Mus musculus: one gene and its partner. The protein of the gene in region 1 binds, or shares a complex with, the protein of each later gene. Links are inferred from orthologs where the notes say so. Each region holds a gene or a part of one and is shown in the gene's direction. Other genes may lie near its edges. The genes, in order: Pdpn and Clec1b.

Region 1 (4,420 bases):
CCTCTGATATCACACACATACCATATCATGGGTGCCCACACCTTTGCACACATGCATGCATGCGTGAGTGCATGCGCACACACAATAAATAATTTTTAAAAATCAGTCTACTTTTGAAATTCTTGAGATGAAGTCTGTTTGAAACTGAGGTCAAAGATAAAAGGATGAAAACAGCTCATTGTCACCTTCATTGGGACACGTAGGGACCGTTCATTGTTAAGTTCTCTGTAACTTATTTTTACCGTGTGCATGCGCGAGTGTGTGTGTGTATGTGTGTGTGTGTGTGTGTGTGTGTGTGTGTGTGTGCTCGCTGTCTGGTCAGAGGGCAACATACAGGAATCAATCGGGACTCTCCTTTCACCATTGTGGGTTCAGAGCCTAAAACTTAAGTCACTCGGCTTGGTGGCCGAGCCACCTCTGGGGGGCCCATCCTCAGATGCTTTTGTTGAAAGGAATTTATGGCATCTGGGAGTGAAGCCAAGACCACCCCCGACCCTGTTCTTAGATTCCAACAGGTTAGAAGGGAATAATGAACATTTCTCTTGCCGATACCCACTCCCTGAGAGCAAGGAAGGATTGTTTAAATCAAGAGACAGGGGATTACCAGTTAAACCCTAGGATTAATAGATGAGCTGAACTCTTATTAGTTCCAGGTGAGTGGCCGATAGTCAGATGACACAGCTGCTCCTGGTATCCAGGTGAAGCCACAAAGTCCCGGTATCAGGGGGTGGTGGTACGTGCTCTGCCTTCTGTATAACTCACTAGGGCCAAGCACCCTTCAAGGTCAAGCACCCCACCCAGACAAGTACCTCACCGGGCCAAGTACTGCACTGAAGGCTAGTTGTGGGAGGACAGACGCGTCCTTCCGTCCGTCCGTCCATCCATCCATCCATCCATCCATCCATCCATCCATCCATCCATCCATCCATCCATCCACGTGCCTTGCATGAAGGTTCAATAAACAAGAGCCGCCTCAGACTCACCCAAACAACGGCCGTTTTCCCCAAACCATCTGAAGAAAAAAATCCAGTGCATCGGTCTAAAAACCATAAAACCAGCCGCATACGCCACTGTGTGCGTCTCTCTTCTGCCCACTATCAAGGAAACCTAAGTTGTGGGCTTTGCCCTCCAAAACATAATAGTAAATATAGTAGAAAAATAAATAAAAATTGTAAATCAGAACTGTTTACTGCACGTGGCCCCCTTTTCTCCTGTAGTGGAACAAAGTCAAAAGCTTTTTTTTTTTTTCCCCTCTGGGCTGGGCCCCAGTGGCTGAGGCCCTGTAACTTTAAACCTGGCCTGAGGTCATCTTGTGATGCTGGCCAAACAGAGTTCGGGGGCGGTCCTAGATCTCCGGGACCACCTGACGCCCACCCGCTCCCGCCCCGGGACCGGAGACATAAATGCCGACTGTGCCGAGAGGTTGCCAGCTGCCAAGTTTGCTGTGCTTGCTGCCTCTGCGAGTCCAGAAAGCCCGGGCACTCTCTGGCGCTGAGACTTTTGCTCAGCGCCTTCCAACCTCCTCCCGAGCTCTTCCCGGCTGGGCCTGTGGCTTCGAAGTTTTTTGTTTTGTTTTGTTTTGTTTTTCATCTTTTCACAACCCACAAAAAAACCCACTAGCTGCTGAGGCTCCAACGAGATCAAGATGTGGACCGTGCCAGTGTTGTTCTGGGTTTTGGGGAGCGTTTGGTTCTGGGACTCTGCGCAGGGAGGTAAGCGCCATGCATGATTGGCAACCAGCACTTGTTGGTGGGGATGGAGGGAGGCGGGGGATGCTTGGGCCTGGGATCTGCGAGTGCGGGGGGAGGGAGGGAGAGCGGTGGGGTAGCTTAGATGGGGCTAAGTCTCCTGTAACAGCCAAGTGGGTGTGGCGGTAGGGGGTCCACCCACAGGTGGTAGGGGTACAGAATGGCCCTAACAACCCCCACCGCCCCGGGGGCTAGTGTTACGGGATGGGAAGGTGACCAAGGGCGACTGGACTGGCCCAAAAAAGCAGTGTGTTAGAGGAATGATTAATGTCTCTGAAAAAGAGGAACAGATAGGAGGACGTAGGTTGGAACTCTGGGTCACACCCCTGGCTGGGGATAGACCTGAAGAGGCTTCGCTAATTAGGATGGTAGCTGGAAGGGACGGTGGAACAGCTTGACCCGCAAGCTGCTATCTTTCTAGCATTCTTGTCTCTGCCTCTTTCTTTCCTCCCCTCCCCACACCCCTACACTGGAAATGGATGGAACCCAGGGCGCCACGGACCTGTACCTCCTAACCTGGAGGGCTGCCGTGAGCGTTGAAGCGCAAGTGTGTTTGAGGCCATGTATTGAACTTGGCCAAGGACTCAGTGGCTGAATTAGTGTTAATTAAAGACGAATGGAGCCTGAGAATGTAGCTCAGTTGGCAGAGTCCATGTTTGGCATGTGAGACACTCTCATGCTCCATCCCCAGCAAGATGCAAAAGCCAGGATGGTGATGCTCAACTGTGTCAGCACTGGGAAATGGAGGCAGGAGGATGAGAGGGTTCAGGGTTATCTTGGGGTATAAGGAGTTTGAAACCAGACTGGGCTTTAAGACCCTGACTAGAAAGAAACAGATTGATGGGACCACCATCACGTCCTCCTCTTCTGAATTACTGTCTTCTGTCTGGGTGATCTATGGCTGGGGTCTAGGACAGTCTCCTGTTATTTTGTTTCTTGCTTTGATGTTTTAAGTTGTATCTATATTCCTGGTGGAATCTAAGCTCTAATCTTGATCCCAGAGCCAAGAAGTCATGGGACAGTCTCAGTTGCTCACTAAATGAAGGCTAGTGGTCATCAGAGATGTAGGACTGTCTTTCCTGGTGAAGGAGTGGTTTGTGTGAGATGGGTGGGCCTAGCCTAGGCTTCTATAATTCTCCACAGACAACACCTAGTGTTAGGGAAATTATATAGAGTGCATGGGCGAGGTTGTCCACTTGCTTCAAAGAGACGAAGCTATTCTTTATGGTGTTCAGGGGTATTCCTGGCAGTCCTATCTTTGAAACTTCTTACGCTAGGATATATATATATATATATATATATATATATATATATATACAGTTCTGTATTTCGGTTCCATTTCCGTCATGGCGAGACAGTGCGTGTTAAGAACATGGCTTTTCACTCACCAGCGCAAAGTGAGGGGAAGCACCCACCCCAAACCACATCCTAGGAAAGTCGGAGGCTGGCATCCTCCAAAGGCAAGGGTAGGCTGCAACTGTCTCAAGCCAGCTCCCAAAATGCTCCTAAAATGTAGCTGGTATTTGGTCTTGTCTAGAAAAAGTCATCACTCAGTTAGAGTAGAAACTGTACAGCTGAAGAAAAAGCCTTGGTACAGGGGTGTTCAGAGAGGTGGCCATGCGGCCAGTTGTATCCAGGCTGCTCTGCAGCAAGATTGAGCCTGCAGGGTTTTTGTTTGAGAATAATGAATATGGATGAGTTAACTCCATTGAGTTAAGCTATTACTGGGGAGCCAGATCAGGCAGGGGTGATTGTGGTGTGCTAATTCTATTAGAGTCATATGCCATACTGATTTAGGGTTATAACCCAACCCCCTCTGCAATCCCCAAGGTGTTCGTGGATTCTAACGAGGCCTGTTGTCCTCACATCTGGCAGCCTCCCCCACTGCCAGGCCCCACCCTCACTCTGAACTGACATCCAAAGCCGGTACCCCAGGACTCGCCCGTTAGCAGTGGCTTTTTATAAGATTCTCGGCAAGCTGCTGCTTGCCGCTAACCCATGTGTGCTCTTCCGGGACCAGTCCGAGCAGGATTAATCATGTGGCACAGAAATCATCCTGTGATTTCCCTGAAGTTCTTGCCAGTTTTCGGGGGCCCTGGAATCCTCGCAAGCTGCTGAGGGCTTATGTAGCTGAGGAGGCCTTGAATAAAGCTGATTCTGTTAGAGGTTCTGCGGGGGAAGCTGGGGCTTAGGGTCCCAAACTGAGTTCAGAAGAGGGAAACACATTTAAAGATGCGAGTGCAGCAGCAGAAGGCTGAGGGTAGCCACGATCAACAAGACAAAACTCAGCTCACCCACCATTGACTTTGCTGGCAATGGAGAGACCCAAGTCTCCGGTATGACAGAGAATGGCCCTGACTAGTGGGCGGGACACCACCTCCTTGCATTCCCCCCCCCTCCCCCCCCACCACCACCACCACATTCTAGGAATGTCGCAGGCTTACCTCCTTTAATCCCCAACCTCTCCTGTAAATTATACACTATTATCCCAGAAGTTGCTGGGACCTTGATTCAGAAACAAAGTTAAGCTTTTTACTATGATTGAATTAAAAAAAAAAAAAAAGACTGACTTGAGACTGAAGGTAGACTTCACTTTATTCATTTTAAACATGAATAAAAAAAAAAATTACACACTCCCCATACAAGAGTGGAGTTGGCCTGGCGCATTAAAA
Region 2 (4,269 bases), on another chromosome or scaffold:
ATCTTTGGCTGAAGTGGAAGCTATGCAAATAGTAGCAGCAATTGGTGAATAGTCTGTTGGCTTCCTGAAATCATTGGAGGTGTGAGTGAAAGGCATTTCAAAATGCAGAATCCTTGTAGTGAGTTGACAAAATTCTGAGAGTGAAGTAAAGAGCACGGAGGAAAAGAAAGAAAGCCATGTAGAAGATACCAAAAAGAGCCGGGCAGTGGTGGCGAATGTGTTTAATCTCAGCACTTGGGAGGCAGAGGCAATCGGATTTCTGAGTTCGAGGCCAGCCTGGTCTACAGAGTGAGTTCCAGGACAGCCAGGGTTACACAGAGAAACCCTGTCTCAAAAAACCAAAAGAACAAGGGCAAGTAAACTCCTGGCAATAGGTCCTGGATGGTCTTCATGGTGAAATATGGAGACTGGATTCTCTTAACAAGGCAGAAGGGCTCTAGCCATAGAGATTTAGCAGAATTACATACTACAAAATTAAATAAATTCTAGGCTAATGACAAGACAGGCAGCAGTCAATATTCCTGCAATAACCACCCTGGCAAGCTCCATATGGTGCTCCTGTAGCTGCTGTCACGGTAAGCCAGTGTAATTATTTAAAGCCCATTTCTATAGAGCTAAATGATGGAGTATTTATGACACTGTGATTAAAAGGAAACCAGCATCCCCCCTCCTGCAAACAGTTCTGTCACTGCGCAAAACTGCACTCAAACTTAAAAGGTGCCGTTGCAATCTAGTTTTATTTAATCCAAGAACTCATTTTAAATATTATCTAAGAAACATATATTGTGATGAGTTTTGTATTTACTTGACTCTTTTTTCCTTCAGTGTCTAGGACTAAGCAATCTGAGGTCTGCTTCACTTGCAGCTCAATTTTTTTTTCTTCTTCTTCTTCTTCTTTTTTTTTTTTTTTTAAATAAAATGACTTATATTGGATGCAAGAATTTAAGTGAACTTTAGGTCATAAAAAGGAGAAGTGCGTTCTATTGTAGGGTTGTAGATGTGTAATTTCACACCGGATAATATAAATGATAAGATTAGACATTATTATATCGTTCTTTTCAAATGATATTAGATTTGAAGTCACAGTAGATGCTGTATTCCTACTGGTACCTTTATCCATGAGTTTTTTTTATAAGGCATCAGTTCAATTACGTGATGTATTTTGAGCTTTCCTAGGGTTAAGATGAAGCGTGAACTTTGTCATTTGACAGGATACTCCCTCAGGACGGAACATCCCTTCACTCAGAGCTGAAGATAAGAGAGCAGGAAACGAGCCCCGCATCTACTCTTTCACCACAAGTTATTATTATTTTTGTTTTTAGGTTCAAGCCCACGTATCTCTGAACATCCAAGAAAGGGCTTCCTGGAAAACAAGACAAAGCAAAACAAACCCCAAGTGTCCTGGTGCATATGGCCCCACACCACCGGGAGAGAAGGAGCCCACACTGGCAGGCACTGAGACTCTAAGGGTGGACATTGGGTGAGTTCTGCAGAGTCACTGAGCTCTGAGCTCTTTGCTGTTCAAGGGGAGCCATGCAGGATGAAGATGGGTATATCACTTTAAACATCAAGCCCCGGAAACAAGCTCTCAGCTCAGGTAAGAAGGCTCATTCAGCAATTTGGGCATTAGTGAAATAGGTCACTCCTATTCTCTGTCTCTCTCCCAGTGACAGGGTGCTTAAACTTATTTGTGTTTTCCTGAATGATATTCTTTTTCTGAAGCATGCAAGTGGGGCCTACAGAAGCTGCTGCAGACATAGTTAGAATACAGGCAGAAAATACAGAAGAGGGAACATTGTACTAAGGCTATTAGAATGCAATACTGGGGTGCTTAGAAGCTGGTAGAACAAAGCGAAGGACAGTTTGAAAACTCAAATGTCTTCACATTTTAAAGGAATACATTTGTTGCATGACTTAATTAGAAAACATGAGAGTTTTTTCTTTTAATGTTCTGGAGGGAAGCGTTTTATAATCTGAAGTCTTTCCTTTCTTTTCTGTTTAAAATGATATAAAGTCTTTGGTTCATAGTGTTGTTCAATATGTAAACATTTCATAAGTTAACATTTATGTAACATAAAAATAATTTTTTTGTCCTTTTAAAAACAACATCAAATTTCTGAACACCAGAAGACCCAGTTCTCCACCAGTTGCCTATGAAAGTAATTGTGGAGGAGAACAGGGGTGCTGAGGGCCATGTAAGAGGAATGACAAATGGCTTTAGAAGTCTTGGAATGTGGTCCAGCAGTTAGCACAGCCTCAATGGGTATGACCCAGAGAGGACTCCATGTCCTGAGGACTTCATGCTGTTATGGAGTTCTGCTCTGCTTGTTGCCCTTCACATCCCTATAAAAACTCTAAGGAGTCCAGCCCCTCACTGGACAGTATCTCTGGCTCTTATAAAATATGCTTGATCTCTTTCAGGTATTTCTGCTCCAGCAGATTAATGATTCAAACACCACCCTAGAAAAGAACTTAAGAGATGTAGATTATCAGCAATGACCACCATCCTTAGAAAACATTTGGAAAAATAAAATTGTTAGTGAATCTAGGTTAAGATGTTTCTGCTACTGCTTCTGATGTAAGAAACCTAAGGGAACAATTTGATGTTCAGAAAAGCACACTTTCATTAGCTAAGCTAAGGGCTTTTTAAGGTCAGGGAACAAGAACAATGGTAGCACTGAGTCTTACTAGTAATAATTGATTTCTTACACCCATTTTTGCCCTCAGCTTCCTAAGATGATTTTATTAAGTAGGTATGTATTCTGAGGGTTTAAAGTAGATATGACTGATTTTTTATATAAAAGTTTAATTTGTGATTCTTTTAAGATTCTTATAAGATTACTTGTAAAGATAAACAATAAAATAAAATAATTAATCTTATTTTTGTAACTGCAAACTGCTGCCTGCTAGTGAGAGAAACTACCTTGCTTGCTCACACTTTGTTAATCTATAACAAGTTGCTTGGTTACAAATGTACATGGGTTCTTGGGAACAATTTGTTTTCTTTGCCTATAATTAGCTACATAATGTTATTTCTTGTAAAGGTACAGGAGAACATATGTTTTTTCATAGTCATTCTCCAGAAGAAAACTAGAATGTCTGTCTGTCTGTCTGTCTGTCTTTGCATGTATGAAGTTACTGAAGTCTGTTTTTTATTTCATCCTCTCAGTGTACATGTATGTGTACATGTATGTATGCTTTTTCTTTCTTTTCCTTTCTTTCTCTCTGGCCCCAGGGATTAAAAGAGTTTAGAGTTTTTTGCTGGCCATGGGGAGAGCCAACCCCTTCTCTCTGTTCCCTCAGAGAGAAGTCTGCTGAGGAATTTCTCTAATCACTGGATGCCTTATATAGAAGTCTCTATCACTATCTGGACTGATCCCTGTCAGCAGCTTCCTGCCTCAGTTTACTCACCCATAGATGCCAAAGCTACTAATTGGCACAGGGATGCAAAAACAAAAACAAAACAAAACAAATCAAAAAACCCAAAACCAAAAAACCAAAACCAACAACAAAACAAAAAAACAGATACACGTGGCCTTGGTAGCCAGTTATATGTTAGAATGGACAGAGAATAAGTCATAGAGAGTGGCAATGGATGGGTGGTATAAATTAAGCCATTCTTATTGAGGATGGTCACTAATGGAATGCAGGTAAGATCAGAGTAGGTTCTTTCCTTCCACCCTGTATTCCAGGACTCAAATCCAGTTTATCAGGCTTATGTAGTTAGTGCTTTACCTGCTAAGCCATCTTAATAGCCAAAGTCTTACTGAGTTTTGATACAGTAACTCATAGAGCCTAGACTGGTACTGATTTTGCTACGTTGCCAAGGCTGCCCTTGAACTCTTGATTTTTCTGCCTCCATGTCCCAAGCTTTCTCACACATAGCTTACAATGCTGTTTATGATAGACTTAGGCAATCCTGAGAAGCCCAGGGTAGCCTGAAAGTCTTCTGTTTGCATCTTTTCTGTGCTCCCACAGCGGAACCTGCCTCTTCTTGGTGGCGTGTGATGGCTTTAGTTCTGCTGATCTCATCCATGGGGCTGGTTGTTGGACTCGTGGCTCTGGGGATCATGTGTAAGTACTGGCTCCTTGCCAGGGTTTTGACCTGAGGGAAGCAACAGCCACGAGGCGTATTATACTAAGCTTCCTAACTGTCTTTGCTCCTCTCTTTGTCACCTACTCTGATTGTCCTGAATACTGCTGCGGATATAACCTCATCAGAGGAAGAAAACTCAGAAGGGAGAGACCCCCTCCTCTTCTGATTCAAAT

The links.
Region 2: the proteins of Pdpn (region 1) and Clec1b are in contact, whole or in part, in a crystal structure (PDB 3WSR), measured with the Homo sapiens proteins. The link is inferred for Mus musculus from reciprocal best matches to the Homo sapiens genes PDPN and CLEC1B. Residues at the interface, in NP_006465.4 of Homo sapiens: Ala46, Glu47, Asp48, Asp49, Val50; in NP_001380271.1 of Homo sapiens: Arg107, Phe116, Arg118, Arg152, Thr153, His154, Leu155, Arg157.

Annotation. Positions count from the first base shown.
Region 1 is NC_000070.6:143,296,481-143,300,900, reverse strand, and holds the start of Pdpn (podoplanin isoform 1 precursor), read left to right. Parts: upstream 1-1,336; 5' UTR 1,337-1,645; coding exon 1,646-1,712; intron 1,713-4,420. UniProt on the Homo sapiens protein: Mediates effects on cell migration and adhesion through its different partners.
Region 2 is NC_000072.6:129,396,082-129,400,350, forward strand, and holds the start of Clec1b (C-type lectin domain family 1 member B), read left to right. Parts: upstream 1-1,215; 5' UTR 1,216-1,533; coding exon 1,534-1,597; intron 1,598-3,978; coding exon 3,979-4,074; intron 4,075-4,269. UniProt on the Homo sapiens protein: C-type lectin-like receptor that functions as a platelet receptor for the lymphatic endothelial marker, PDPN.